Canis lupus familiaris: one gene and its partner. The protein of the gene in region 1 interacts with the protein of each later gene in a pairwise test. Links are inferred from orthologs where the notes say so. Each region holds a gene or a part of one and is shown on either strand. Other genes may lie near its edges.

Evidence for each region.
Region 2: the proteins of BAG3 (region 1) and LITAF interact in binary tests that used the Homo sapiens proteins (3 or more experiments, as listed by UniProt). The two-hybrid records come from large-scale screens. The link is inferred for Canis lupus familiaris from reciprocal best matches to the Homo sapiens genes BAG3 and LITAF.

What each region holds. Positions count from the first base shown.
Region 1 is NC_049249.1:30,109,125-30,112,445, reverse strand, and holds part of BAG3 (BAG family molecular chaperone regulator 3), read right to left. Parts: exon of another isoform or gene 3,149-3,321; intron 3,038-3,148; exon of another isoform or gene 2,944-3,037; intron 2,528-2,943; exon of another isoform or gene 2,449-2,527; coding exon 2,044-2,448; exon of another isoform or gene 1,927-2,043; intron 1,794-1,926; exon of another isoform or gene 1,240-1,793; intron 784-1,239; exon of another isoform or gene 477-783; intron 1-476. UniProt on the Homo sapiens protein: Co-chaperone and adapter protein that connects different classes of molecular chaperones including heat shock proteins 70 (HSP70s), e.g. HSPA1A/HSP70 or HSPA8/HSC70, and small heat shock proteins (sHSPs), e.g. HSPB8.
Region 2 is NC_049227.1:31,540,366-31,544,013, reverse strand, and holds part of LITAF (lipopolysaccharide-induced tumor necrosis factor-alpha factor), read right to left. Parts: intron 3,196-3,648; 5' UTR 3,191-3,195; coding exon 2,971-3,190; intron 1-2,970.

The sequences.
Region 1 (3,321 bases):
ATCCATTCATTTATCGATGGATACTTGGGCAGCTTCCATATCTTGGCTATTGTGAATAATGTTGCAATACACAGAGGGATGAGTATAGCTTTTCTAATTAGTGTTTTAGCCAAACTTCTTAAATCTCACACATCCTAATTTCACCAACTGGGAAGTAATAGACTACATGATTTCTGAAGTACTCTCAATTTAAAATACTAAATTTCTACCACTATAATATTCAGTTAGGTCCAATCTTTGCAAACCTTCAAAAAGAAATCTCTGAACAAGCACTAAAAGGGAGGGCACTACAAACAAGATTAAGGAAGAAATAGGATTAAACAGTTTCACCGATTATGGGAAATATATAGGAAAGACACAGGGAGAAGCATTTCTAGCTCTGCGAATGGGCACTGCTTTCCCGAGATTCCCTGAGCCCAAGTTGGGATCTAGTGGCTACTTAGCCATCTGAGCGCCAGCAACCCCTTCTCTACCAGGTATCTTGCCAGCGCGGATGCCCTCAACCACTTGGCAACCAGGCACACATCCCTCTCTGGGTTTTAAAACAATCTCCGAGTAAGAAAAATGACTTTGGAAACTCTTAAGGGCTCCACGGCTTGTATACTCTTTGAAAAAGTCAAGGTCACAAAAGCAACGGAAGTCCGAAGAACTGTTCCAGAATGAAGGAGACTGAAGAGAAAGGACATCTAAATGCAGTGCTCATGATCCTAGATTAGATCCTGGAACAGGGAAAACCGCTATCAAGGAGATTTGAAAGTGGACTGTGTATTAGATGACGATGTGGTAAGGACGTTAAGTTTCCTGATTCTGATAATTGAACTGTGGTTATGGATGAGGTCCTTCTTAGGAAAATATTTCCTGAATTATTTATGGGTAGAGGGGCACCGTATCTATAATTATATCTCCAACAAAGAAACCACATGGATAATACATATAGAAACAAGAAATGGCAAAGCAAATACAGCAGAATGTTAACGGTGAATGTGGATGAAGGGGGTATTGGGTTTCTTTGTAGGATTCTTGTAATTCCTCTGTAAGGTTGAAATTATTTCCAAATAAAGAAGCTAAAAAAAGAACCACAGGAGGGTGCTGTCACTATTTATAGTAAGACATCCTGCATTTGCCTACAAGGGGCTTTCCTTCTAAAAACTATGACAGAGAACCAATTTGGCTGCTCAAGTTGGGGGGCCCGGGGTTGTTCAAGGCTTTGCTAAGCTACATGACCTCCTCCTCTTCCAGGATGTGCCCTACGAGTTGCCCCTGAAGGATGAACAGGTCTGTGCCTGCAACTTCCCCACGCCGGAAGGTTTCCCGGTCAGCTGGCAGGCCGGTCCTTTACTGGCAACATTGTCCTTTACCACCAAGGAGAGAGGGAGAAGGCTTGCCCCTGTCATCAAGCTCAGAGCCGAGCTCAGCAAGTAAGATGTTGAACACTTTCGGAATGCACAGCGTAACACATGCCAAGCCCTAAAGGACTGTGAAGGGATGCTGTGAGAAAGAGGAGTAAGCTTCATGGAAGAGGCAAGACTGGCTGGTCCCTTGGAGGATGGGGAGAACCTGGAGTGTGCTGGCATTTCTGGGAGCTGGTTCAGCAAGAGCAAATGCACAGACGAAGAACAGAAAGGGCCTGAGGAGTGGAGAAGGGGCATCCGTGAGGAAGGAGAGTTGGAGATGAGGCTGTGGCTGCAGTGTGCAAGGGGTCTGAAGAGCCCTGACAAAGTGTGGTGGGCGCTAAGATAGCCGGGCCCCATGTGTGTGACACCCCACATGCTGCCCAGCTGTCTCTCGCTGAGGTGAGGGAGGTTCTGTCTAAAGGCAGCTGCAATGACAAATGAGCAAAAGCTGCAGAAAGTACTGAGCGTTCCCAGTACCAGTCCTGCGTTTCTGCTGATAACCAGCCAATTCCAGAATCTCGCTTTCCCCCAGTAACACGCATGGGAGCTAGTGAAGGCCCACGGAGGAACCAGGGCACCCGCACGGAGCTCCTCAGCCCCGGCAGAGAAGCTGATGGAGTGGGTCGGCCTGTGAACACCAACTGCGTACCTGAGGCTTGTCGACCACAGTGTGCACACGGTGGGGTGAAGGGGAGTGCACTGGTGTGCTGCTTCTGGCCGGAGAGGCCTCCCGGCTGGATGCACTCCGGACAGGTGAGCGGAATGGGGACGCTGCCGGCATGGGCCGGGGCTCCCAGTCGTCCCCCGGGGCCCTGTGGTACATCGGCTGGTAGGTCTGGTATTCACCCTGTTGAGCCGGGTAGTGGGTCTTCTGGGCTTGGTGGAAGGAAGGCTGGGCTGCTGGCCGGGCGACATTCTGCTCGTGTATCACGGGGATGGGGATGTAGCCCCGGGGGAGCTGGTGACTGCCCAGGCTGCTCCTGCTGGAGGAGGAGGGCAGGCTGGCTGTGGAGGACGACGACGAGCAGTCCGAAGCAGCTGGAGACTGGGATCGCTGCAAGACACAAAGAGTAGAGGAACGAGTGACCCTCTGCCCTGGTGCTCCAACCTTGCCTCCTTATGTGCCTGCTCAGGTAACACGTTTAATACAGCCTTCCGCTTATAAACCTTTCCATCTCCAAAATGTACTGCAAGGACCTGAGACTCCGGAGCCAAGTGGCCAGCATTCTAACTCTTACCAACTCAACTGCCTTTTTAAAAAATTAATTATTTATTTGAGAGAGCACTTGCTTGCACACAGGGCCAGGGCAGGGGTGGGGTGCAGCAGAGGGAGAGAGAGAAGCAGACTCCCTGCTGAGCAGGGAGCCTGATGTGGGGCTCGATCTCAGGACCCTGGGATCATGACCTGAGCCGAAGGCAGATGCTTAACTGGCTGAGCCACCCAGGCGCCCCTTCATAGCCTTTTGAGCATCTAAAGCATAGAAAAGATGCCCCTGCCACCCCGAGCTGACTAGAAGATTCAGTAAAATAATCCGTGGATGTGCTTCAGCTTCAGGGCCACACACTGATGTCTCTGGATGTGGGAAGCAGCACATGTCACGTGCCCGGAAGCTGGCCAGCCCCTAGACCACCTAGAAAACCAAGTGCGTGTTTCCCCAGCTGGCTTCAAAGAGCCCTGTTAGCTCCAATTTGATTAAGATTTATCTGATTATTGTGTCACTTTGGATTTTCACAACAAAATATTACAAATACAGGTACTCCTTCAAGAAAGGAAAAGAACAGAGCCGAAGAAGGCGGTGCTAACTCTGGCCACAGACACAGAGCGAGAATCTGTGTTCACGAGCAGCGCCAGCGGACATCAGCAGACAATCTGCAGGCAGGGAAACCGGAAGGGCTTACTGCTCAGGAATCCTTCTGGGGTCCACTG
Region 2 (3,648 bases), on another chromosome or scaffold:
GGCGATCGGTGAATGGAGAGAGCATCCGCTAGACGACCCGGGATGGGGCGGGGGCTGGGTCCCCACGGGGGCTGGTGTGTCCACCACTTGCAGGAGCCAAAGGGTGGACGTCACCCAGGTGCCCGCGGACAGGTGAGCAAATGGCTAAGCACAATGGGATCTACCCACGCGGCGGAGGCTCGCTCAGCCTTAAAAGGACACCCTGACCCGCGCTCCAACACGGATGAGCCGTCAGGATGTTGTGCTGAGTGCCACGAGCCAGGCATAGGACAAGGCCTGCACGATTTCACGTATGGGAGGCACCTCAAGTCATCCAATTCACAGAGGAGATGGTGGGTGCCAGGAAGGGGTGGGGGGGGCAACGGGGAGCTGCTGTTTACTGGGTCTGGAGGTTCAATTTTACAAGATTTAAACATTCTGGTGGGGGGGGGGGGGGGGAGCTGGGTGGTTCAGTCCTTGAAGCACCTGCCTTGGTTTGGTCATGGTCATGGTCATGATCTCAGCATCCTGGGATCGAGTCCCTCATCAGGCCCCCTGCACAGCAGGGAGCCTGCTTCTCCCTCTGCCTCTGCCCCTCCCCCTGCTTGCGCTCCCTTTCTCTCTCCCTCTCTCTCTGATGAATAAATTGTAAAAATAGGGGGATCCCTGGATGGCTCAGCGGTTTAGTGCCTGCCTTCGGCCCAGGACATGATCCTGGGGTCCTGGGATCGAGTCCCACATCGGGCTCCCTGCATGGAGCCTGCTTCTCCCTCGGCCTGTGTCTCTGTCTCTGTCTCTGTCTCTCTCTGTCTCTGTCTCCCATGAATAAACAAAATCTTTAAATAAATAAATAAATAAATTTTTAAAATATCTTTAAAAGTTCTAGAAAGAGATGGTGGTGACAGTTTCAAGACCACTTGAATGTGTTTAATGCCATTCAACTGTACACCAAGAGACGCTAAATTTAGGTGACAAATTTACCTTATGTGTGCTTTACCAAAACAGTGGCAGATTTCCAGCATTATCATTTGGGGGGCTTGCATGCCCCTGACCCCCTTGCCACGTGAGATGGGGAGAAGTTCCTGGAGCGGGGGTCTGGCTCAGCACGACCAGGCTTTCAAACTCACTGACCACAGAATCGGGTGGGGAACTTACTGCCAATGTTGCCAATGCAGGTTCCTGGGCCCTATACCCACCCCCAGCCCCTACCGCTGAGACAGGCTGAGTCAGCAGGTCTGGGGCAGGGTCCCCAGAAGGCTCTTTAAGCTCCCTGTGTGGTTCGATAAAGGTGGTCTGCAGATAGTAATTCCAGAAACAGTGATATGATGGGGTTTTAGCCTCAATTTTCTTCATCCATAGATTAGTGGTTGCCAGGGACTGGGGGGATGGGGAGGGGTGGCTAATGGGGACGGGGTTTCTTTCTGGGGTGATGGAAATATTCTGGAATTGGCGCCGATGCTTGCACTGACACCATTGCATCAGACACCTTCAAAGAGTGAACCCTATGGAGTTAATGGGAATTGTATCTCAATTTAACTCTTTTATTTTTTACAACTGGAAGTAACACGGTTGCTGCCAGGGTCCCATGAGAGAAGGATAGTAAAGAACCTGACACTCTGGGTCACAGCGAACCCAGATCAAACCCTCGATGAAACACTCCCCTCCTTTCACACGTGGCTCCGGACTCCTTAATAGGTCCAACCCCCCCGTGACAGGGCTGGAGTTGGTACCAAGCCGGGGAACACTGGCCCAGGCTTTGCAACGAGTCCGGGAATCGAGCTGATACATGAAACAAAGATATAAAATAGTGCTAAAAAGAGCAAACTATGTGAAAAACATGTACAGGCGTTCCCGGTTACCAGAGGAGAGCCCAGAGTGATATAAATCATGAAGTCCTTAAGCATTCAGAATGTTTTTGCGTTTTGGCAAAGTTGCTTAAGCTCATATTTCTGTCAGAGTGACTCCCTTCTGTTCCTCTCTGCGGTGCTGAAATGCCGTTTCTATAATCTGTGTATTAGGGGAAATTAATTATTGTACTAGCTCTCAGAACTTAATTGTCCTAGAAAGACCTAGGAAGTCTTTCCTTCCAGAAAAAGCAGTATTTGAGCATACTATAACACCTACATGTAAACTGTGTAAAAGTCTTTTTTTTTTTTTTGGTACAGAATGAATTTTTGATCAGAGCATGATGAGTCTGAAGTCACTTTGTTCTCTTCTGTGTGATAGCGTCAAAGTTACTCGAGCCCGGGGACAAGAGCTCACTTTTATCAAATGACTCCTCAGAGAACTTCATTTCATCGGAACAACCCACTGAAGGAGTCACCTGATGAGCCCTATTTTACAGGAGGGGAAACTGAGTCACCAGGCAGTTAGGTGAATCCAGGCAGTCTGACCCACTGGCCTAGTCTCTGAGCTGGCTATTCCCTCCTCGGCTGCTTGTGATACTGAATCACCTATGCACCTGGGCGCACCTAGGCGCACCTGGGCAGCGGGAAGTCCCCAGGGATAAGGCCATGAAGAAGTAGCTAGAAGGCAGGGAAGCAGGCTGGGACAGCACCTGCTCAACCATTTCTAACTCCCAGTTGTTTCTGCTCCTTCTCCCACTCCAGCCCTGGCCTCAGGGCAGGGTCTGTCCCAGGGAGTGTCAGCAGGAAGGGTAGGGGCCTTTGAACGCAAACTCCCATTCCCCAATTCCTCTGGGATGACTGGTGGGCAGTTAGCACCAAAAGATCGGTTTGTGGCTGATGTGGGAAAGCTCATAAACTGTGCTTTATTGGGGAGAAGACATGAGCCCCCCACCCCCACCCCAGAGGTGGAACCCAGAAGACTAGAAGTGACATTCCAGGGCGAGGGGTCAGGCCAGACTGACCGGCACTTCACTTGGACTTTAGGCAGAGTCACCTCTGTGGCTCCCCTGATTCTCGCAGGGGCCCCAAGGCCAGGGTGGAGGGCGAAGAAGACAGGTAAGGGGGCGCGGGAGGTGGCACGTACTTGCATTGGCGTTGGGGACGGGCACTGGCTGGGTGTAGTAGGCTGGCGGATTCATGCCCTTGCCATCCGGGCCCGTCACCAGCCCCGTGGTCGGCCCTGGCGCAGGGGCAGGAGGCATAGGGAAGTAACTATTGACGGCCACCGTCTCTTCATAGGATGGCGGCGCAGTTGGCACCGAGGAAGGCCCAGCGGCCGCCTGGTAGGATCCTGGAACAGACATTTTACCTAAAGCAAAAGCAGAAGACACCAGATCAGAAATACAAGTGACACCTCTCTCTCTCTCTCTCTTTTCCATACCAATCTTCCCAATTTCTACCAAATGGAAAATAGGAAGAAATGGCTCGCGTGCAGCCTTGTCCAAAAACCAGAAAGGGAGTTAGCATCCCTCCTAGACCCAAGCATTATCACTGTAACGAAGGATTCCCTAAATAAAGCTAAAAGGTAAACAGTTACAACCAAAAATCATCAAAACCTAGAAGGTCCCAAGGGCACACATCGCCCCAATCAGAGCAGACGCTTCTCTCCTGGCGCTTTGAAACTACCAACCAACGACGGCCCCGTCTTTCACATCGAGTGTCGTCCTCTCCTCTTTAACCACTGTGGGTTTTTTTTTTTTTTTTACTAAAAGCATCTTAGGTGCCGGAAAAGACAAAGGTGTTCCAAGTCAACCACAAACTA